Canis lupus familiaris: one gene and its partners. The protein of the gene in region 4 interacts with the protein of the main gene of each other region in a pairwise test. Links are inferred from orthologs where the notes say so. Each region holds a gene or a part of one and is shown on either strand. Other genes may lie near its edges. The genes, in order: DDX19B, EIF3G, DDX19A and MIF4GD.

Evidence for each region.
Region 1: the proteins of MIF4GD (region 4) and DDX19B interact in binary tests that used the Homo sapiens proteins (3 or more experiments, as listed by UniProt). The link is inferred for Canis lupus familiaris from reciprocal best matches to the Homo sapiens genes MIF4GD and DDX19B.
Region 2: the proteins of MIF4GD (region 4) and EIF3G interact in binary tests that used the Homo sapiens proteins (3 or more experiments, as listed by UniProt). The link is inferred for Canis lupus familiaris from reciprocal best matches to the Homo sapiens genes MIF4GD and EIF3G.
Region 3: the proteins of MIF4GD (region 4) and DDX19A interact in binary tests that used the Homo sapiens proteins (3 or more experiments, as listed by UniProt). The two-hybrid records come from large-scale screens. The link is inferred for Canis lupus familiaris from reciprocal best matches to the Homo sapiens genes MIF4GD and DDX19A.

Annotation. Positions count from the first base shown.
Region 1 is NC_049226.1:76,888,533-76,894,893, forward strand, and holds the start of DDX19B (ATP-dependent RNA helicase DDX19B), read left to right. Parts: upstream 1-2,039; 5' UTR 2,040-2,062; coding exon 2,063-2,236; intron 2,237-6,361. UniProt on the Homo sapiens protein: ATP-dependent RNA helicase involved in mRNA export from the nucleus.
Region 2 is NC_049241.1:51,336,608-51,343,022, reverse strand, and holds the start of EIF3G (eukaryotic translation initiation factor 3 subunit G), read right to left. Parts: upstream 3,984-6,415; 5' UTR 3,889-3,983; coding exon 3,869-3,888; intron 3,755-3,868; coding exon 3,708-3,754; intron 3,258-3,707; coding exon 3,174-3,257; intron 3,070-3,173; coding exon 2,981-3,069; intron 2,852-2,980; coding exon 2,792-2,851; intron 1,478-2,791; coding exon 1,373-1,477; intron 1,287-1,372; coding exon 1,097-1,286; intron 342-1,096; coding exon 234-341; intron 136-233; coding exon 1-135. UniProt on the Homo sapiens protein: RNA-binding component of the eukaryotic translation initiation factor 3 (eIF-3) complex, which is required for several steps in the initiation of protein synthesis.
Region 3 is NC_049226.1:76,933,159-76,938,099, reverse strand, and holds part of DDX19A (ATP-dependent RNA helicase DDX19A), read right to left. Parts: intron 4,350-4,941; coding exon 4,172-4,349; intron 3,796-4,171; coding exon 3,558-3,795; intron 1,237-3,557; coding exon 1,074-1,236; intron 624-1,073; coding exon 432-623; intron 24-431; coding exon 1-23. UniProt on the Homo sapiens protein: ATP-dependent RNA helicase involved in mRNA export from the nucleus.
Region 4 is NC_049230.1:6,106,016-6,111,416, forward strand, and holds the end of MIF4GD (MIF4G domain-containing protein), read left to right. Parts: 5' UTR 1-143; exon of another isoform or gene 144-148; intron 149-585; exon of another isoform or gene 586-678; intron 679-1,577; 5' UTR 1,578-1,621; coding exon 1,622-1,709; intron 1,710-2,537; coding exon 2,538-2,647; intron 2,648-2,843; coding exon 2,844-2,999; intron 3,000-3,094; coding exon 3,095-3,187; intron 3,188-3,706; coding exon 3,707-3,934; 3' UTR 3,935-4,210; downstream 4,211-5,401. Other genes in the region: MRPS7 (28S ribosomal protein S7, mitochondrial), read right to left, coding at 4,738-4,959. UniProt on the Homo sapiens protein: Functions in replication-dependent translation of histone mRNAs which differ from other eukaryotic mRNAs in that they do not end with a poly-A tail but a stem-loop. May participate in circularizing those mRNAs specifically enhancing their translation.

The DNA of each region.
Region 1 (6,361 bases), on a different chromosome or scaffold from region 4:
GACGTGAGTATCTCTGAGGTTAGAAACGAGACCCTTTTTCCACATTTTAGCGTCTTCCTCACCCCCATCCCTGGAGGGGAGAGGCAGGAATAGTGGTAACAGCTAATATTTATCAAACCGTTGCCATTGACCAGGCAACGGTTATATCACATAACCGTGTGACTGTTGAATCACTGAGCGGTGCAGTGGGTACTTAACCCACTTAAGAATGACTTCAGAGAAGATAGAGGCTGCCGAGGTCGTGTGGGAGGAAATCCAGAAGGCTACCTTCAAATCCGGGGGCTCTTATGACCTTGAATCCCCTCCACGCTCCACTTTGTAAACTAGAGCGCTTCTTAGCAGGTGGCTCATATTGTGCTGGGTGCCTGGGTGGGGATAGAAGACCCTAGAATCCTGATGCTTATTAAGTTTTGGGGTTTTTAATAGAGAAAGTAACATGTGCTAAAAGCGTTTGTGGGAAAGATAAACACCAAATTCAGGAGAGCTGCTGTCTCTTGGGATGGTCATACAGGAAGCTTCCATCAAATCTTGTTTTCATTCTTAAACCCTAAGGTGGGAACCTATGGATGTCTATTGTATGCATTCCCTTTCTTGTTTGTCTGAAATACAATTTTAAAAGGAAAACATGCACATTGAAAATTTCAGAGGATGAAGTGTACACATCAAAAAGGAAGTCTCTCCCACCCCAGATTTCTAGAGCCCCTCACTAGGAGCAGCTGTTAGCAGTTTTGTGTGTATCTCATACATTTTCTATAGTACCTACAAACACATGAGAGGTTTTTTTTTTTTTTTTTTTTATCTCCTCACAAGTGGATCCTACTATATACAGTATTGCACTTTGGATGATTTCCTTTTTAACCGCATTAAACTTAAAAAAAAAAAAAAGTCTTTAGCCTTCATTAGCCCTGTGATCAATATAACTTTGCTGGCAAGATATTCCCAGGGCTGCTTCCGATATGAGATGTAGGTCACGGCTTCCCTCACTGTGTGTTTGCCTTTTTCTTTTTGCACGTCCTTCCTGTAGGTTCCAAAAAATAAAAAAATCTTCACCAAATTAATTCCCTCAAGAGTACAGGAGAAAAAGAGCCATGGCAAATAAAGTATTGCCTGGAACTGCTTTACCTTTCCTGAACTTTCTTACTCATATTCTGAAGTAAAATCCCACATAGAGCCCACTACTGCTTAAAATTAATTTGCTGAAGAAAAGTGGCAAAGAGAAGTGAGGATTCATCTTCTCACCTTGCAGGAAAATGCCCAGCTTCTTATCAGTGAAGTAACAAGGGGAGAGAACCTTGTTTGTTTTCAGTTAGGGGATAGCGGGTGTCAGACATTATTATTTTACCTCTTCTAAAAATCCAAGGTATTTTTTTCCTTTTAAAAAAATTCCCCCAATCACACAACTCTTACATGGAAGCACTAGGGATTCCATTCCAGGCACAGCTAACTCCAAAAGTCCTGTCAGATTCGCGATGTTCCCTGGAATGAATTCATTTGCTCATTAAGCTGCTTTGCATGGCCCATTGCCTCTACCTCCAATCTCTTCATCTCTGGTTCTTGTCAATCCCCGCAGGAACTGTGTCCTTCAGACACAGGCCTCCTGGCCTTTTCTCTCCTCTCCCTGGAACACATTTCCCTAGCACCTTCCTTGAGTATTTTTGAAAGTGAAATTCCTGCAAGTCGTGTTGCCGACATAGTCTGCAGGACAAACTTTTAACCAAATGGTGCTTGACATGGCTGATTGCCAACCCCTGGGCATTGAAATGACTGTCCTGAAGAGAAAAAGATCGTCTCAATACGCATTTTGGTGACGCCTGTATTAGTAAAGGTCCTGTGTTTTGATAGATTGGCTCTCTATGAGCTTCTGTGCCAGCGCGCTCGTGGCCTGGAGGTCCAGTTGGCAGTCTGCGTCTCTGTTCACCAGGTAGACAGAGCTAAGCAAGGGTCAGCGCCGGGGGTCCGAAAGCGACGGAAGCTGCAGCTCCCGGGGGGCGAGGGGCGGCTGGGCGGGCGCAGATCCGACGTCACTGCGGCGCGCCGCTTCCGGTCCCCAGCTCCCGAGCGAATGACTGCTCCCTCGGTGGGGCGGGAGCTGGGCTTGCTGCGACGCCAGGGAGCCCACGATCGCGCCGCCCCAGCCAGCGAGTCTGCCAGCACCAGCGTCCCGCCGGCGCCTGGGACCATGGCCACCGACTCGTGGGCCCTGGCGGTGGACGAACAGGAGGCGGCGGCTGAGTCGGTGAGTTGGCTTCAGGCGTAAATGGGTCAGGGGGTCAGTTTTGGCCGGGGATCACCCTTGTGTAGGACACTCGCTGCTTTGGCCAGGACGGTATAGGATGCGTGTGAGGCTGGAGCCTGAACCTTGAGCTGGCTTTGTTTATCCATCCGCCTCCTGGGTTACATAAGAGCAGGTGAGTGCTCCCATGGATCTAGCGCCCAGCCGCCTGTCTTCTGGAATCCAGACTGATCGAGATTGCGCTCTCCCCACTTGGATTATAATCTCCCTGTGTCATTCCCTACCTCTGGATTGTGAGCTTCCTGAGCTCTGGGATTGTGGCTTACTCATCTTTGTGTGCTTCCTTACTTGCTTACTGATGATGAATGAACGACTCCATTGGCCCGGTAGTCAGTAAATCCTCTTCTCTGATCACCTTAATTTTGTTCTGGGCTTAGTACACAGTAAGCAAGATATGACTTAAACATGACTATGTGGAATTAACTCCTTCCACCTAAACACTTTGAACCTACTTCTGTTAGTACTTCTGTGAATTTCTTGAGAATAAGGACTCTTTCTTATTTTTTATACAACTGATAATAAATTATATGCACATAATTCAAAGAGTCAAGTAGTTTTGAAAACTGGTTCCACCACCACCAATTTTTCCTTCCCAGAGAAAAACTAATAGTTCTCTTGAAACGGATATACATCATTGACCTCCTTGTTCTCTAAATCACAGGGTTTTGCTAGTTCTTGAATTTTCAATTTTAGGTATTTACTGATTTTAATTCTTTCCTCCATCCTTTCTCCACCACACACGCACACCTTCCCATTCCTTACCTTTTCATTATATTGTAATTTTAGTTAGATCAGTATTTCATGTTTATCTTATTAGTAGCTTATGATACTTTTACTTTCCTATAAAGTTTTGTTTTTCCTTGGAATTTATAAAAAACACGCTTCATGGTTTTTTTTGTACTTATCACCAGTTCAACCTCAGGCACTTTGCTAATTGTTTAGTTTATCTCAGGATGTTCAGACAAATTAAGTATTCTATTAATTCGGGGGGCCTGGGTGGCTTAGTCAGTTAACCAACTGACTCTTGATTTCAGTTCAGGTCACAATCTTGAGGTGGTAAGATCCAGCCCCATGTGGGGGTCCGTGCTCAGTGTGTAGTTTGCTTAAGATTCTCTCTCTGGCCCCTCCCACTGTTTCATAAATAAACAAAAAAACTTATTATTTTTAAAGATTTTATTTCTTATTCATGAGAGATACAGGGAGAGAGGCAGAGACATAGGGAGAGGGAGAAGCAGTCTCCCCACGGGAGCCCAATGCAGGACCCGATCCCAGCACCCTGGGATCATGCTCAACTACTGAGCCACCCAGGCGTCCCTAGAATCTTTAATTTTTATTATTATTTTTTAAAGATTTTGTTTGTTTATTCATGAGAGACGGGGGAGGGAGGGTCGGTGCAGAGACACAAGCAGAGGGAGAAGCAGGCTCCATGCAGAGAGCCTGACATGGGACTCGATCCTGGGTCTCCAGGATCATGCCCTGGGCTGAAGGCAGTGCTAAACCACTGGGCCACCTCGGCTGCCTAAGAATTTATTTATTTATTTATTTATTTTTAGAATCTTTAATTTAAAAAAAAAAGTCTATTAATTCTATTTCCCCCAGGTCTTTTAGCCTACTTCATACTGGACTAGTTCTCCCTAGGTTTAGAGCAGAACTCATTTCAAGGACTGGAGAGGAACAAGACAGATTTCCCTTCACCTTCATTCTGAAGATTCACTCCTCTTCTCTTGTACTGGATCCCCTCCTTTCTGTATCCTCTCTTCATCTTTCTTGATTTTGTGCAACCATCCATCCAGCTTTCTGGAGTATATAAGAAGTTTTTTAAAGATAATATTGCATTTCTGGAAATAATTATTTTGCTCTATCATTTGGATAGTGGTATGGCTCGGTCTAGAGCTGCAGGTTGGGAATTAATTGCCTACCAAATTTTAAAGGCATTGTCTCATTGCCTTTTAGACTTCTTTATTGGTTATTGAGATGTCTGAGACCATTCTGATTCCTGATGTGACCTGTTTTCTCATTTGTAATCCATAAGAATCTTTTTTTTTTTTTTTTTTTTTTAATTTATGATAGGCACACAGTGAGAGAGAGAGAGAGAGGCAGAGACACAGGCAGAGGGAGAAGCAGGCTCCATGCACCGGGAGCCTGACGTGGGATTCGATCCCAGATCTCCAGGATCGCGCCCTGGGCCAAAGGCAGGCGCTAAACCGCTGCGCCACCCAGGGATCCCATAATCCATAAGAATCTTCTATTTGTTTCCAGTACACAGAAAACTCATGATAATGAGTCCTGGTATAGGTCTGTTTTCATCCACTTTGCTGGGCACTGGGTAGGTCCTTTCTTTTCTTTCAATTTTATTTTTAAGTAATCTCTACAACCAATGTGGAGCTCAAATCCACAACCCTGAGATCAAGAGTTGCATACTCTTCTGACTGAGCCAGCCAGGCATTCCTGGGTGGGTCCTTTCAATCTGGAAAATTCTTGTCCTTAAGTTATGAGAAATTTTCTTGAAAAATTTCATTATTGATTTCTCCTCCTCTGTTTTCTCTTTGCATTCTTTCAAGAATTCTTACTACTTGACTGTTGGACCTCTTGGCCTGGCCCTCTAAAATTTTTAAGTCAAGTTTATTGAGGTATAATTTACACAGTGTAAAACTCATCCTTGTTCTGTGAATTTTGACTAAGGCATCCAGTTGTGTAACCACCACCACAATCAAGATACAGAACAACAACAACAACAACAAAAATTAAAAAAAAAAAAAAAAAGATACAGAACTTTTCCACCACCTTCAAAAAGTTCCCTCAGGGATCCCTGGGTGGCTGCAGGGATGGTGCCTGCCTTTGGCTCAGGCCATGATCCTGGAGACTGGGGATCGATTGGGCTCCCTGCATGGAGCCTGCTTCTCCCTCTGCCTCTCTCTCTGTGTCTTTCATATGAATAAATAAATAAAATCTTAAAAAAAAAAAAAGTTCCCTCAAACTTTCAGTCACTCCCTTCTCCCTTCCTTTTCTGGCAACCGCTGGCTTGTTTTCTCTTTAGATTTGCCTATTCTGAACATTTTATATAAGTAGAATCATACAGTATGTGGTCTGTTGTGTCTGGTTGCTTTCACTTAGCATAATGTTTTCAATGTTCATCTATGTTGCAGTAGGTATCAGTACTTGATTCCTTGATATTGCCAAGTAATATTCCTTTGTCACATTTTATTTATCCATCAGTGTCCACTGATGAGCATTTGGATTGTTTTCTACTTTTTCATTATTATGAATAATATTGCTGTGATTATTCATGTACAGGTTTTTGTGTGGACATATATTTTCTTTTTTTTAATTTTTAAAATATTTCTATTTATTCATGACAGAGAGAGAGAGAGAGAGAGAGGCAGAGACACAGGCCGAGGGAGAAGCAGGTTCCATGTGGGGAGCCTGACGCGGGACTCGATCCGGGGTCTACAGGATCACGCCCTGGGCCGAAGGTGGCGCTAAACTGCTGAGCCACCCGGGCTACCCATAAATTTTCAGTTCTCTTTGGTATACACCTAGAAGTGGCATTGCAGGATTATATAATAACTCTATGTTTAACTTTGAGGAATTGTCAGACTTTTCCTCAAAGTGGTTGCACCATTATATCATCCTTAAAATTATTATGTTCTATGAGATTAGTATTATTTATGACAAGCACCATCATGTAGAGGTTAAAACCTTAACCTTTATAGCCAGATGGTCTAGGATTTGTATTCTAGGTCCATCACTTACTAGTTATATAACTTTGGGCACACTGCTTGACCTTTCTATGCCTTGGTTTCCATATCTGTAAAATGGAGATAATCATAATACTTACCTCATTGAGTTATGGACATACTTGTTATAAGTGCTACATAAGTAATAGTTATCTGTAATCCACAGTTTCTTTGCAGAAATCTTTTAAATTACTTGTCCATGTTTTACGGATTAGATAGTTGAACCTGGATAAGATTGGTGCATATACTTAACACATGCACATGTAAATTAGATCACAATATTCCCAAACTGAGCAAATTGAGTAAAGATGCCTCTATTAGCCTCTGCTTT
Region 2 (6,415 bases), on a different chromosome or scaffold from region 4:
TGGACTGGCCAGTGGTCTTGTCCTTTGCCAAGTAGATGCGAGAGATGGAGCCAAAGGGTCGGAAGAGTTCCTGTAAGTCAGTCTCACGAGTGTCCTCTGACAGGTTGGTGACACGGATAGTGGCATTGTCGTCGGCTACACAGGCAAGGAGCGACAGCTTGTAGAGGACAGCCCTAACCAGGCCCTGAATGAAGGATGACCATGGGACTAAGAGGTGCCCACCCGCCACTCACCTCTGCGGTTGGGCTGCATGGACTCGCCACGGCGGCTGGCCCCATCCCGCAGGCTCGGTGGCACATACTTCCCCGTCTTGTTCTGGGCAGCCTGCACGGGCTCCAGCTCTGCAGACCAAAGCAGCTGGGTCAGGCCTCACCCTGGCACAGGTGAGGGACAGATCCACCCCAGGGCGCTGGCAGCTCTGGCCCTGACCCAGCCCAGGCACCGTCTATCAAGCCACAGGTATCTGGTTTGTTCCACTGGCCGCCAGGACATGAAGGTCACATCTGGCAAGTCAGAGCAAGATCCCACTGGCAGCCCCAGGGCTGAGAGCTAGAAGAACACAGGAACATGCAGGGGCAGCCCCCGGGCCCCACACTCATGGCAGCTAACAAATGTGCTGCACACCGAATCACAGCTGTAAAACTTGCAGAGTCAACCCACTATCAGCAAATCACACTGAAGGACATGGACACAGGCTGCAGTCACATGTGCGAGTCTGCGCGTGTGCGTGCACACACCCACGCACACAGGCCATGGTCCCCTCTGTGGCAAACAAGGCACACTCCAGTCTGATCACAGAGTCTGCAGCAGAATCACAGCTCCAAGTCTCAAGCACACGCAGCCAGACCCATAAAGGAACGGTTCGCCAGCCCAACACGGAACAACGGTGGTGTTACCAGCAGTCTTGGCACCACCCCGCTGGTCTCGCACACTCACACAGACCACAGCCTGGCAGCGCTGGTGCCAGTGAGAGAGGACAACTTCTGATGCGGACAGCCCCGTTCACAGCAGCGGGTGGAGACCGAGGACACTCCCAGAGGTGCACGCAACCCGCCCCACCCCGTGGTCCGCCAAGCCAAATCCCAGGCCCAGGCACCTCCGGGCAGCTTCTCCTTCTCGCCGGTGGACAGGCCCAGCTGCTCAGCCAGCTCCTTCTGCATGGGCCCCAGCGTGTCCTTGTAGGGGCAGCGGGTAGTCCAGTGGTCGCCCTTGCAGATGCGGCAGGACACGATTTTCTGGCCCTTGAGCTTGTTCATCGGGTCCTCCTCTTCCTGGCAGTTCAGATCCTGGGGGGGGGTGGCAGTCAGAGCAGGGTTGCCACACCCTGGCCACCACCATCACAGCCACCGGCCCAGACCCTTGCCCAACTCACCTCTTTGCTAGTGATGAATGTCATGGACACGTCGTCACTGACTGTGGTGGTGGCCACGTTGGGCCCTGGTGGGTCAAACTCCGAGTTCCCAAACTTCTTCCAGTTCTGGGCTCGGGGCGGGATGGGGGACTTGTAAGGGCAAGTGGGACCCCCACCACCACTCGACCTACAAAAGCCCTCCCTTCAGGGTGTTTCAGCCTTGAACCACATTCTTCTCCCTCCCCCAAGTCTCCCAAAAGTGGTGACAACGACAGTTCCCATTTCCTAGCGTGTACCACTCCTGGCATGTGCTAGCCGCTAGCTTCAGGCCAGCTCCAGGAGGTGGGGACGGCTCTCAGCCCAAGTTCCAGAGGAGAGAACCAAGGCCCAGGGGGAAACAGTCACACAGTTAACCATTCCTGAGGCACCCATGACAGGAGGTGGGCCAGCTCCCATAAGGAAGTGACGCCCAGGGGTCACCCAGACTGTGAGGGGCCTTGAGATAGTTAAAAAACCTAGGCTTAAAAAAAAAAAAAAAAAAAAAAAACCTAGGCTTGGGCAGCCCGGGTGGCTCAGCGGTTTAGCACCGCCTTCAGCCCAGGGCGTGATCCTGGAGACCTGGGATGGAGTCCCACATTGGGCTTCCTGCACGGAGCCTGCTTCTCCCTCTGCCTATATCTCTGCCTCAGTCTCTCTCTGTGTCTTTCATGAATAAATAAAATCTTTAAAAAAAAAAAAAACCTAGGCTTCAGCTTTCTTCCCCACCTTTTTAAGATTTTTATCTATTTATTCATGAGAGAGTGAGACAGAGAGAGAGAGACGCAGAGACACAGGCAGAGGGAGAAGCAGGCTCCGTGCAGGGAGCCCGACGTGGAACTCGATCCCAGGACTCCAGGATCACACCCTGGGTGGAAGGCAGGCGATAAATCGCTGAGCCACCCAGGGATCCCAGCTTCCTCCCCTTTAAAATGGAGACCTCAAATGTTCCCCACCTCCCAGGACGGCTAGGGGTAGCAAATGAGAAAACACTTCCTGCAAAACACTTGCCATTGAGGTCTGGCACAGAGGAAGTCCACCGAAAATTGTGCCAATGCTATTTACAGCTATCACTTCTTCCTAAGCATGTAGCCCAGTTAAACAGGAGCTGCTATGACCGCCTGAGGGGAGGGCTTGGCTCTGTTCCTTCTGGTAAACAAGTAAACAAGCTGAGCGGAGTTAATCTAAACCACCCAACTTCTGCACCCTGGACTTTTCAGGGTCCCAACAGAGCACAAACACCCCTCAACCTTAAACCCCCTTGATCCAACAGAATAGAGACAGAGTTGAACCCCACTTCTAAAAATAAAGGTATCAGATCAAAACGCTGTCAACAAAAAGGATTCCTAATTCCTCCAAGCCAGCCCTGGGAGAGCCTCTAAGACAAGAGGAGAAGCGTCTCACCTTCCTCCTTGCAACAGCCTTGGAGGCCTTCCGCGTCTCAATTCTGAAGGTGCGGACGATCTGTGGAGGGGAGGGGAGAGGCTCCGAATTCCTGTGTTTCAAGGCTCTGGAGCTAATCAACCCAACCTACCCAACACACACACCATCCCCTCCGGGCCAAGGGGCCCCCAACTCCTCCCCCAGCCTCACCTTGAACTTCTTGCCATCCTCATCTATCTTGTACTCTGTCACTGTCTTGATGTTCCCATTGATGACCTCCTTGGGAGGCGGCAGTGGAGCTGGGAGAGAGAAGAGGGGAAGTAACTGAGCCTTGGGTGATGGAGGGGGAGGGGAATGCTGCTGGGGAGAGGGAGCCCCGAGTGGAGCTGAGGGCGTCACTCACCTCCCGGCACTAACTCAGGTTCTGGGCTGGTGTCGCCAGTGGCCAGAGGGATCCCCTTGAGGAGCTCGCTGGTGACACATTTGTCTAGGAAGGGGAGTGTGGGTAGGAGGGGTGAGCTGGAGGGGCGAGGGCTCCCAAGCTAAAATGAAGGGACTTCTGGGATGACGCCCACACCAGGGGCCTAGACGGCAGGGCCAAGGGCTTAGGCCTGGGGACCAAGTGCCCTGGGCTAGCCGTGCCAGGCCGTGGCGCTGGCTGAGTAATCTCGCGCAATGGCAAGGATGAAAGCGAGGGGCAGCCCATAAAGACATCCGGCGCTCGCACCCAAGCAGGAGGCTGGCTGTTACAGCTTCCTCCCCGGAGCAGCTGTGAGGCTTGGGCGGTGGCAAGGGAGCGGGGGGACCGGCCAGCCGGACACTTGGAAGTGGCGACAGGCTGGCGGGAGGCGGGAGGCGCGGGGGGAGATGCGGCACCGGACGGCGGTGCCCGGCTCGGCGCAGGCGCCCGTGACCCGGGGCGACCCGGCGTACTCACCGTCCTCGCCCTCCTCCTCCACCTGGTCGGCCCAGCTGGGCTTCGAACTGCAAGGGCAAGGTGGCGGAGGGGAAGGCTGGGTCAGCGAGGCCAGGCCCCGAGGAGCGCCCCCACGGCCCCCAAGCCGCCTCCCAGGCTTCGCTCCGCGACCCTCGACTCACTCAAAATCTCCGGTCGGCATTTCAAAACCTCCTCCACGCAGCACAAGTCCCGGGCCAGAGACCGGAAGTGGGGGGAGGACGAGACTTCCTGCGCCGCGGCCCAGAGCAGCCCGGCAGCAGCGCCCACAGCGCCCCCTGCGGCCGGAGGCGGAGGCGCCGGCCGTGGCACCTCCCTTCGTTCATTCCATTCATTTCACCTTTTATATGTTGGCAAGTTGAACACCGATAAAAAATAAATTTATTTTTAAAAAATCACCAACAGGGATCCCTGGGTGGCGCAGCGGTTTGGCGCCTGCCTTTGACCCGGGGCGTGATCCCGGAGACCCGGGATCGAACCCCACATCGGGTTCCCGGTCGGTGCATGGAGCCTGCTTCTCCCTCGGCCTGTGTCTCGGCCTCTCTCTCTCTCTCTCTGTGACTATCATAAAAAAAAAAAAAAAAAAAAAAAAAAAAAAAATCACCAACAGGGATCCCTGGGTGGCGCAGCGGTTTGGCGCCTGCCTTTGGCCCGGGGCGTGATCCCGGAGACCCGGGATCGAGTCCCACGTCGGGCTCCTGGTGCATGGAGCCTGCTTCTCCCTCTGCCTGTGTGTGTGTGTGTGTGTGTGTGTGTGTGTGTGTGTGTGTGTGTGTGTGACTATCATAAATAAATAAAAAATTTTAAAAAAATCACCAACAAAGGAGAAAAATCAGTTTGAGCTAAGATTTTGCCACACCAGCATTCCATGCCAGTTGGCAATGGAGCAACGTGCACAAAACTGCGAGCGGACTATGACTCAGAAGTATCAAGACCAAGATATCAGTTGAATATAAAGGTGACTTGTGCACATTTTCAAATATGAGAGAATGTATGGAAGGACCCTATTAAAAGAATAAGGACAGTGCTTAATGATGAAGTCTAATTAACTCATAGATGAATAATAATACATAAACCAGAAATAGAAAAATGTGAGTATAGTGAATAGTGCTGAACAATGAATCCATTTATAACTAGAATGAACGCTAAACAATTAGGAGGTCATGAGCACAGAACAGAATGTAAATGTTATGAAAATGGGCAAAGTGAAAAATAATACAAATATCAAAAATAAGATTTGGGAAGGGGACTAGCTAGTCCAGATTCAAGAATTAAGAGGACCTTCTCGGGATCCCTGGGTGGCTCAGCGGTTTGGCGCCTGCCTTCGGCCCAGGGCGTGATCCTGGGGCCCCGGGATGAGTCCCGCATCAGGCTCCCTGCATGGAGCCTGCTTCTCCCTCTGCCTGTGTCTCTGTGTCTCTCATGAATAAATAAAATCTTAAAAAAAAAAAAAAAGATGACCTTCTCCTATTCTAATTTTATGCCAGAGAGCAGAAGTAATTCCTCTCTGGAGCCCAAAACCTTAAATGATCTCTACATGTTTTATATACAAAGTAGCAGTCCATGAACAATAGGACTAAATGAATGGAACCCCAGTTAAAAAGAAAAAAGAAAAAGAAAGAAAAGGAACAGACACATAAATGATCCAGTTTTTAGAAAAAAAAATTTAAAGGTACTAATAACACTAAAGCTCACTTCTCGAGAGCTTATTGTAGGCCAGGCACTGTGAGGGGGAAATTATAATTTTCTGAAGAAATTGTATGGTGGCAGGTGGTGAAGAATCCAGGCTGGACTTCCCGGTCTGGGAAGAGTTTTCCTGATTCAAATGATCAAGATGTCAGAGGGCCCCTCTGCCCCTCTTCCTCCTTTCTTTTGCAACATTCTTGGCTCTCTGATATAATCCTTCCCACTCACTTGTTTATTGTCCAGCCGTCCCTGTAGGGTATTATTCTCAGTGGGAGCCTCGTGGCTCCCAAGGGGGCTAAAATGAATTCTTGGGTAGCAAAACACCTTGAATATTATTACAATGGCTGGTGGCTCTCCAAAAGCAACTCTCCTAGACAAAATCTTATGCCTAAGTATTTACTTTCTATCATTAGGGAGAAATTAAATGTAACTGGATTGAAATTAGATGTATTTTTTTAAAGATTTATTTATTTATTTATTTATTTATTTATTTATTTGAGACACAGAGAATGAGAGAGAGAGAGACAGAGATACAGGCAGAGGGAGAAGCAGGCTCCTTGCAGGGAGCCCGACGCGGACTCGATCCCAGATCTCCAGGATCACACCCCAGGCTGCAGGCAGCGCTAAACCGCTAAGCCACTGGGGCTGCCCTGAAATTAAATTTAAAGAGGGGCACCTGGGTGGCTCAGTCGATTGAGCTTCTGCCTTCAGGTCAGGTCATGATTTCAGGGTTCTGGGACTGAACCCCGCGTCGGGCTCCCTGCTCAGCAGAGTCGCCTCTCCCTCTGCCCCTCCCCTGCTCCTTCTCTCTCTCTCTCTCTCTCTCTCATAGATAAATAAAATCTTTAAAAGCTTTTTAAAATTAAAAATAATTCCACTTTTCTCCTTTAGAGGGGCAATAATGTAAAAAGGTTGAGAATCTGAGGATCCCTGGGTGGCTCAGCGGTTTGGCGCCTGCCTTTGGCCCAGGGCAGGCCCAGGGTGTGATCCTGGAGACCCGGCAT
Region 3 (4,941 bases), on a different chromosome or scaffold from region 4:
GTCCAATCTTTCTATTTTCTTATCTGGGGAGGAAGATGAGAATTCAACATGGGGCTACCACAGAGATCCACCCCTAGGGAAGGGACAGCATGGCACAGGGAGAGGAAACACAGGGTTCTGCCCTGCCTAGGGATGGGCCATGCCTCTGGCCACAGCGACCTTTCACTTAAGCCCAAAGACTCCCAGTGCCTGAGCAAGGGACAGAGCCCCGGGCCCCTGAGGCTGGCCAAGGGGGAACTGTGATTTGCGTCTCTGACCCTGAAAACTCGCCAGGTGTGGTCTTGGAGGACTTCCCTATTGTAGGGAAGGAGAAGACTGTGTTGGGGACAAAGGCCTTTCTTGGGGCCACAGGAGAATCTACCCTTCACCCCCTCCCTTGGACTCGCCCCTAAGGAGAGGGCACACCAGTAGGGACACTCCCAGGCACTCACTAAAATGCTCCTGGATTCTGTTGAGGATGTTCATGCTGTGCTTGCTGTCAACCATGTTCACTGCCAGGCCCCTCTTGCCAAAGCGGCCCGTGCGCCCGATCCTGTGCAGGTAGGTCTCGTTGTCCGGGTTCCCGTCCTTGTCCACGGGAAGGTCAAAGTTGATGACGACAGAAACCTGCTCGACATCAATACCTGCATGAAAGAGGTGGAGAGGTCAGGAAGGGAGACAAAAATCACCACCAGCCAAGCAAGGCCAACATATACCAGCTTCATGTGGAAGAAGAGTCTGGGGCAGGTTGGCTCTGGGATTTGGGGCCAAGGGGCACCTAGCAGAATCCAGAGGGAAAGACAACTTTGGCAGGGTGCCAACAGAATTAGGACATCAGTAATGCAGCCAGAACCTCACTGGGGGCCCCAAAGAGAAGGTGCCATTCTGGACCAGTGAGGTGCCTGTCCCTGTCCTTCCACCACATCAGGGCCCCTGGCTTCTGTGACAATTCTCATCTGCTGGGGGAATCCAGTCTCTCCCAGGAAAGAATGCCAGCACCAAGCCCATGTGGACTCGCCCCGAACCAGCAGAGCGCCCCATACAGGAGGACTTCCCTTGCTACTCAGGGCCTGGCAGACAGATTCTCTGCTCACCGCGGGCACACACGTTGGTGGTCACCAGCACCTTCTCCTTGCCCTCTCGGAAGCGCTCAATCACCGCAGCCCTCTGCTCCACCATCATTTCGCCACTCAGCAGGGCCACCTGGTGGCCTTCTTTTGAGAGCTCTGCTGCCAGCCAGCTAGCTGTTTTACGGGTCTGCAAAGAAGGAAACATTTGAGAAATCAAGGTATCTGAAAGAATATTTTTGATCTAGAAGACTCTACCTGAAACTTACCAGCTGATGGTTAAACTTCCTAAAATGATGGGGCGCCTGGGTGGTTCACTCAGTGGAGTGTCTGCCTTTGGTTCGTGATCTCAGGGTCCTGGGATTGAGCCCCATGTCGGGCTTCCTGCATACTCCCCCTTCTGTCTCCCCCCACTCCACTCATGCTCCTTCTCTCTCTCAAATAAACAAACAAAAAAAAACAAAACTTCCTAAAACTGTTAACATGACATGCTGTGACAGGAAGTAACAATGTTACTTGGATATTTATCTCACAGAAATATTTAACCTGAATATAATCACGAGGGGGAGAAATGAAAGAAATTCTTAACACTACTTACTAGCTTGGACACTTCAATATGTTGGAGTCACAGAAGGTGGGGAAATTGTTCCAGGTTAAAGGAGTCTTGAGAGACAGGACAACTAAGTGCAATGATTTCTGACTGGCTCTTACATTTAACACCACCAACCAAAAACAATAAAGAAGGTTTTTGGTACAAGTGAGGAAAATGGGATATGGATGGACTAGACAGGGGATAATATTATTATGTCATTGTTAAAGGTAGACAATGGTATTGGGCTTATGTAGCAGCATGTCTCATTCTTGGGAAGTACTTAGGTGTAAACTCTCATGATCTCTACAACTAACTTTAAAATACTTCACTAAGGGGCACCTGGGTGGCTCAGTTGGTTAAGCGTCTGCCTTCAGCTCAGGTCATGATCCCAGAATCCTAGGATGAAGCCCTGTATCGGGTTCTATGCTCAGCAGGGAGTCTGCTTCTCCCTTTTCCTCTATGCTCACGCACATGTGCACTCTCTCTCAGATAAATAAAATCTTTCCAAAAAATTAAAAATAATAACTTCACCAAAACCAAAAAGCACGGATGTGTCACACATGTGAGCACATGGATAAAAAGCAAAGTGGCTAAATGTTAACAATAGGTGAAAGGCATAAAAGTGCTCAGTTTCTTTTTTTTTTTTTTTTTCATCTTTTCTGGAGATTTGCAATTTTCAATCCGAAGGTAACAGTCTAAAAAAGCTTTTTCAGGGGCAGCCTGGGTGGCTCAGCAGTTTAGCGCCACCTTCGGCCCAGGGTCTGATCCTGGATACCCGGGATCAAGTCCCACATCGGGCTCCCTGCATGGAGCCTGCTTCTCCCTCCGCCTAGGTCTCTGCCTCTCTTTCTCTGTATGTCCCCCATGAATAAATAAATAAAATCTTAAAAACAAACAAACAAACAAACTTTTTCAATGACAAGTCCTCTAGTAACAGAGTAAGATTTGTCTCATTCTAATATCCCTTAGCATCATTTTTGTTTTCTTTTTCCTTAACAACATTTTTGAAGTGTTCTTCAAGTATCCTGAATATTTATTCTTGATTTTTTTCCTATTAATAGGATCTAGCCTTCCTTTTTTTTTTTTTTGACACAAGGACAATGTTTTATTTTTAAGTTACTATGTTACTGTATGCAGAGCAAAAAGTATAGTGACTTATCTATTTGTGCATTCCTGTTTTACACATCCTTGAATTATAAATGATTGAACAAATAATCAATTATTAGCCTTCTATTTTTTAAGTATTTGCTGTTTGAGGGCAGCCCAGGTGGTTCAGCAGTTTAGCGCCACTTTCAGCCCAGGGCGTGATCCTGGAGATCCGGGATCCAGTCCCACATCAGGCTCCCTGCAGGGAGCCTGCTTCTCCCTCTGCCTGTGTCTCTGCATCTGCCTGTCTCTCTCTCTCTCTCTCTCTGTCTCTCATGAATAAATAAATAAATAAATAAATAAATAAATAAATAAATGAAATCTTAAAAAAAATTTGCTGTTTGAGACTAGAAAACAACTTATATTAATTTTGTAACCAGCTACTATATTTAGTCTCTTATTTTTCCTACAATTATCAGTTGATTCTCTTGTGTTGTCTAGTAACATATCACCTACAAATAGAGACTCTATTTTTTTTTTTTAAAGTAAGCTCTAGGTCAAACAAGGGGCCTAAACTTATTATCCCCAAGATCAAGAGGTGCATGCTCCATGGCCTGAGCCAGCCAGTCCCTTAGGAACTCTATTTTTAAGCCATGTATACCTTAGGATACTAAGACAGCACTATCCTACATCTTTATAAACCATTCCTTTCTGGCCACACAGGGCCTCTGGTCCTCCTCAGCACCTAGTTGGAGCTGGCTGTGAGGAGGGGCAAGCACCTCCTCCAGGGCAACTCCTCCCCCAGCAGGCCTGCTGCTGCCACTGCTACTCACATGGCAGAAGATCATGGCCTGAGCAATGGTGATGGCCCCGTAGAGGTTACACAGGGCCTGGAACTTCTCATCTCTGTTATTGCACAGGACGTAATACTGTTTGATGGTGTCCAGTGTCTCCTCTTCACGCTTGAGTTTGATGATGTTTGGATCTGGGACCACTTTCTGGGCAAATTTCCATACAGAGTCTTCGAAGGTGGCAGAGAAAAGCAGCATCTGGCAGTTCTTGGGCAGCATCCTGCAAGGGAAGACCCAGGTATGTGGCATGATCCCGAGTCTTTCCCTGGAAGGAACAGAAGACAGCTGCCCGGGGTTGGGTGATCCACATGCCCAGGAGAGTGGCAGAAGGGGGAGGAGAACAGCAGGGAGGAGGCGAGAGCAGCCATGGGGCAGGGACGGGGCTGGTGTTAGATTCCCTAAATCTCCTTCCTCAACCCGTGGTCAGTGCTGACGAGGATATTGCCCATCAAACAAATGCTTCTGAAGGTTCTAAAAGCAAATAACCCAGCTGGAGAAAGAAGAGGGGTTAGATATAGCAGGAGGAGATACAGTGAACAAGATTTTTACTTGCAGATCAAGAGGCGAGAAGTTCCTCTTGGCTCAAGAGTTCCTACCTCTGGATGCGGATGCTCTGATCTTGGTGGCCCTGAGTAGCTATCATCACGTCAGCCTCATCCAGAACAAACACCTTGATCTTCTTGGGGTCAATGAACTTGAGCTTGGAGCACCAGTCCAGAACAGTCCCAGGGGTGCCAATGACAATGTGCTCACTGATTTTCTGACCTCTTTCCACTGTGGAGACAAGACATTTTCCGTGGGTATTTCCATGGCAAACCAGTTTTGGAAATCAAAGCCTTGCCCATCCTTCCAGAGTGAGTAAAACAAGTTAATTCCAGATGTCAAAACACAAGAGCATTATCCATAAGTCTTGGATTCTTCTATTTTAAAGTCGTACAATGGCACCTATGTCCCAGCATAGTGGTCAGGATTCAATCCTATGCAGTGAATTCTCAGTAAGTGCCATGTCTCTCTTCTGTTTCCTCCTGTAATTCAGCATTATCCTACTCATTCTCCTTGGCGTTACTCTTACTCACTTTGCATCATACATTCACTCACAGTTCACAGATTTTCTCTTCAACTGGTAGTTTTGAGTCCCAGGATCCTGGCCTAGTGAGCTTTAGTTAACATTCTAATATAGACAGTCTTCCTAAGTACATGTGCTAAAAAACACATTACTCTCAAATTATAGCTGCTGGAGTTGAAACTGGTACAACCACCTATTAAAATTACTAATGTGCATAGTCTGTGACCAATACTCCATGATTAGGAATGAACCCCGTATGTATGTTAACATGTGTACAGTAACAAATACGCAAGGCTATGC
Region 4 (5,401 bases):
GCAGAGAGAGAAGCAGGCGCCACGCAGGGAGCCCAATTCGGGACCCGATCCCAGGACCCTAAGATCATACCCTGGGCTGAAGGCAGGCGCCCAACCGCTGAGCCACCCGGGCGGCCCTGGTCCGCTGATTTTCAACCTGAGCAGTACGGTTTGTACTTGGAGGAGAGGGTGGGGGGACGATCCAGCCCTTAGGGGTCCCATTGCCTTCTCTCGCGCGGAAGGTGGAAGTGACGGGCCAGCCCTCCTTGTCCTCCCGCCGCCCCGCCCAGTCTCTTTCCATCCTGTTCTAACCTGAGCCCCGGGCGTGGGAGGGGGCCCCGCCGCCGGCGACCGAGGGCTTCCTCTGGGCGGAGGAGCGGGTCCGGCGCGGCGCGGCCGACTCGAGTGAGGACTCGCTGCGGGCGGCGTCGCGGGCCTTCCCGGCGCCCCCCGGACCTCGGGAGCACGCGCGGGGAGGACAGCGTCGCCGGGACTCCGGCAGGGGGCGCTGGCGGGGCGGCCCCGCCCTCCGCGCTGGCCCCGCCCCGCGCTGGCCCCGCCCCGCGCCGCGCTCGGAAATGACCTAAGCGGCGGCGAGGCCCGACCGGCCGCCCCAGCCCTGCAGCGCGGCGGACCGGGGGCGCGCACCATGCCCGTCGAGCGGCCTCTGGGCCCGCGGGCGCGGCGCCGGCCCGGCAGGTGGGTCCCGGCGCTCGCACGGCCTCGCCCGCCCGCGGGACCCCGGACGGCTGCGCTGCGCCACCCGGAAGGGGGTTCCGGGCTTGGGGAAGCCGCCCGGCTTTGGAGATGCCCGAGGTCGTCCTTGGACTCGGGGGGAGGCACCGCGTCCGGAGAGGGGACTCCAACGGGGACTGCCGGAGACGCGTCACCGGCTCCCCTCGTCTTTAGGAGGAAGGCTCCAGGATGGAGCTCCCGAGTGTGGAGTCCTGAGTGGGCAGGGTCGGGTTTCTGCCGCTCGGGAGGCCAGTTTACCCGGTCTGTCCCGGGGAGAAGTTGGCCCGGACCGGAGCGGATCAGCCCCGCACCCGCCCGCACAGGCCAGGCCGAGGGCTGCCGGCCGGGTTTGGGACTGAGGATTCTGACTACAGCCCAGGGATGAGTCGGGGCGGGGCGAGTGGAACCCTGCTGGGATGGACGTGTCCCGAGCCCTCGGCCCTGTCACTCTCTGGAAGTCGCGCTGGGCGAGCAGCTTCCAGGCGGGCTTCCGGAAAGGCAGGGAGCCGTCTGATATGCCCCCTACCAACACCCCCAGCGCAGTGCACCTCCCCCCAGCCTGGGTATCAAGAATAACTCTACCTCCTATGGAAATTGAAGGGTAGGCACGTCCACCTTCACCTCTTGTGTAACCCCAGAAGCTACAGGAGTTCTAAACAGCAGCAGGTGCCTGGCTGGTGCCCAGTCTCCACCAGAAGTCAAGCTTCCTGGGCCCTCAGCCAACCACCCAAGGCAATGGACTGGCCGGGAGCACCTGTCCCGAGCGCTGGCCAGCCCTGGCTAGCCCTGGCCGGGGCCTGCAAGGTAGAAACCAGGCCCTGCGCTGCACACCTGAGGCCTCTCCCTTCCCCTCTCCTTCCCAGGTGCTGTCATTAGTCCCTCCTCTGTAAAGAGCTGTGGGGGCTGGATGGTCATGGGGGAGCCTGGTAGAGAGGAGTATAAAATCCAGTCTTTTGATGCAGAGACTCAGCAGCTGCTGAAGACAGCACTCAAAGGTGAGCATGGGAGCCCTCCTGAGCTGTAGGGATGGGGCCAGTGGGATGGGCCTGGAGGTCTGAGCCTGGGAACATCCAACCCTTTGCTTTCTGAGAACAGGAGTCAGCAAAGTCACTCTTGGACGGCAGGACAAGCTACACTGAGGCCAGTAATTGAAAGAATGAATCATAGAGTCGCCTCTAGGGCAGCAAAGCCATTTTTTAAGGTTTAAGGACCCATGAAAGGGGGATGGAGCACAGAGAACGGAGTTCTTGTCTCCTAAGCGCTTACATTGGACCTGGCTTCCAAGTTGCCACAGCAGGTGGCCTTGAATGTGCAGAGCTGGCTGACTCGGGACAGAGGATGGAGCACTCTGCTTGGCAGAAGAGAGGCAGTAATTGTCCTGGACCAGTGCCTTCTGCAGCACTCAGAACAGAAGTTTGACTCAGCTAACAATTAGTAATGCCCATCACATGCCAAGCTAAGCCTGCTGGGGAGGCCCTGCCTGGCCCGCTCTTGTTAGGGGTTCATGTGTGTGTGTTGTAAGAACACTTTCTTCTGTGAAATTGCTGTCAAACACATCGTTATTCTGTGCTCCTTCCGCAATCTTAGTGCCAGGGAATGTGTGCCCTAAGAAAACTAGCGTTCTGTGATTAGTCTCCAACAGCGGCATAACCCAGCCACCAGCTGCTCCTGTGTGGTTACTTCTCCTGGTGTTTTCTGGTCTCTTTAAATGTAAGCATATCATGGGGGGTGGCTCCTTTGAAAACATCTCAAACTAGAAGCACGTGGAGACAAATGTAGTAATTCAGCAGCAACTCTAGACTTCCCACCTATCTCTGCCCTAGAGCCAGGTGCTGTGGACTTGGAAAAGGTGGCCAACGTGATCGTGGACCATTCTCTGCAGGACTGCGTGTTCAGCAAAGAAGCAGGACGCATGTGCTATGCCATTATTCAGGTGGGCTGGGACTGCAGAAACGCAGAGACGTTTTGGGAAAGGCTGAAGCAGAGGGCAGGTCTGGCTGCTGGCAGGACAGGAGCAAACGGCTTCCCTGAGAGGTGGAGTCAGACAAGAGGGTCCTCAGCCACTGAAGCTGGGAGGGGGGCCCACCATGGCACTGCCTCCGGCTCACCCTCCTTTCCCTGGCTCACAGGCTGAGAGCAAGCAAGCAGGCCAGAGTGTCTTCCGACGGGGACTCCTCAACCGGCTGCAGCAGGAGTACCAGGCTCGGGAGCAGCTGCGAGCCCGGTCCCTGCAGGGCTGGGTCTGCTATGTCACCTTTATCTGCAACATCTTTGACTACCTGAGGGTGAGGCCCTGGTAGCCACCCTGTGCAGCAGAGACAGCCTATCTCCTTCAGCCACTAAGCCAGGGCTCTGCACACCCCCTGCTCTCCCCCTACAGGTGAACAACATGCCCATGATGGCCCTGGTGAACCCTGTGTACGACTGCCTCTTCCGGCTGGCCCAGCCCGACAGTCTGAGCAAGGAGGAGGAGGTGGGTGATCCGGGTTGACAGCTGTGGAGGGGCAAGCCCTGGCTCGGCTCAGAATACCAGCCCACTGTCTGTGGAGGCATCCGAGAGCACCAACTTCCTAAGGCAGGAGCCTGGTGGGGATATTCAAGGCCTGTCTCAGTTCCAGGACAAGCTGCCAGACCTGGAATTTATCCAGAACAGAGAGCAGGCCAAACCTTCAGGCTCAGACGCTTTCTTCCCAGTAGGAAAGCCATCCTGTGATCGGAATCCAGCTGTGGATACAGATGGCCCAGAAAGGCAGTCTGGCAGGGCCGGGGAGGGGCAGAAAGCCTGGGTTAAGTGGCAGCTTAGAGACAGGCCTGGCATCCAGTCCAGCCCAGGAGAGCTCACGGGAGTCCTGAACTTGTCTCCATTAATGGAAGATGTGGCTAACACCCACCAGGTGGTGTGAGCATGACCAGGGAAGGCGTAGGGGGCCTGCGCGCAGCAGCTGTGATGGGCTAGCACCACCCTGGGGATCACATCTCCCGCCCCCTGCAGGTGGATTGCCTGGTGCTGCAGCTGCACCGGGTAGGGGAGCAGCTGGAGAAGATGAACCGACAGCGCATGGATGAGCTCTTTGTCCTGATCCGGGACGGCTTCCTGCTCCCCAGCGGCCTCAGCTCCCTGGCCCAGCTGCTGCTGCTTGAAATCATCGAATTTCGGGCAGCTGGCTGGAAGACGACCCCGGCTGCCCACAAGTATTACTACAGTGAGGTCTCCGACTAGGCCTCCAGCTCAGGCTGCCTCACCAGCAGCACAGGCCTCTCACCTACCCAACTCCCTGACTCTCCCAAAGACTGTCCCTTGCAGACCTTCAGTGGCTCCTGAGAAGTTCCTCACTTACATGGTGGTCCTGCCCTGAGCACCTTCTCTCCTGGATTCAGGGACTGGGGAAGACACCACACAGACCTGCCCTCACCGTCCCATCAACCTCTACCCCATCACCTCCAGCCTGGGCCATGCAGAGAAAGGCAGCTTCTAACACCCACTGCACTGTGTAACCACCAGTGCAAGAGCCAGCTTGGTGCCTCAGCTTCCCCATTTGTAAAATGGGTACCCAGAGCTACTGGTGGGATATTTTGGGATATTGAGGGGCAGAGCACAAGTCACCCCAGAAGCTGCTTTTTATACATTTTGTACAAGGACCACTTTGGAAACGAATGTATTTCCAGTCAATTTTAGTAAATGGCAGTTTCCATATCACATGCTACACCAGTTCAGGGCGAGAATTTTCTAATAAATCGTTTCTAATATTAAAACTGCTTCCTTTCCTATCATTCCAAGTTCTACCCTGAATTGAGAGAGAAGCTGGATAGGCCCTAAGTTCCTGGGGGAAATCCAGATTGATGTCTCCTCTTTGTGAGGAGATAGAGCAGGAAAGGCACGTCCAGCCCCCCAAACAAAGGACTAACAGGCATAAATACATTATTCCACCCTTAGGCTGGCCTGCCCTTAAAAAGGAACTACTTAGCCAGCAGGTGATTTTCACTGGGATAGTGGCTCCCATTATTTCTTGCAGTGGAGCACCTCTACCACCAGCGGTAGTGAGCCAGGGCACGGTTGGCCTCAGCCATCTTGTGCATGTCATGCTTCTTCTTGATCACAGGGCCCTGGTTGTGAAAAGCCTCCAGCAGCTCGTGTGACAACTTCTCTGGCATCAGCATCCGCCGGTGCTTCTTCTCCCTGCACTCCTTAATCATCCACTTCATGGCCAAGAAGCGACGACGCCGATCAGCAAGTGGCACAGGGACCTGGACAAGACGTGGGCAAGTTAGTCCAACAATTTGTCAGGGCTGCAGCCTCCCTCCTCCTTGAGCTCTAAGGAGTAGCCACAGGTTCCCTCTGAGCTAGCACTGACAATGCTCCTGAGGAGAGGGGCTTGGCTTCTCCTTTGTGAGTCCCCCTCACTCCCGGCAGATCTCAGTGCAACAGACATAGAGGCATTCATTGCACAGATGCTCATTAAGCAAAGACCTTGCTCACCTCTAAATGAAAGCTCACCTAGGTTGATATGAACATCAACTGGGAAAAGCCCCATCAAACTGGGGTGACTTAGCCAACTCAGATCAGGGGTGCCTAAAAACAAGACGCTCTTGTCAGTAAGTGTTTGCTAGACCACTACTATATGCCAGCTACCATGCCAGACCCTAGGGACACAGATGTTAATGAGGGTCTCCACGCTACATTAAAAAA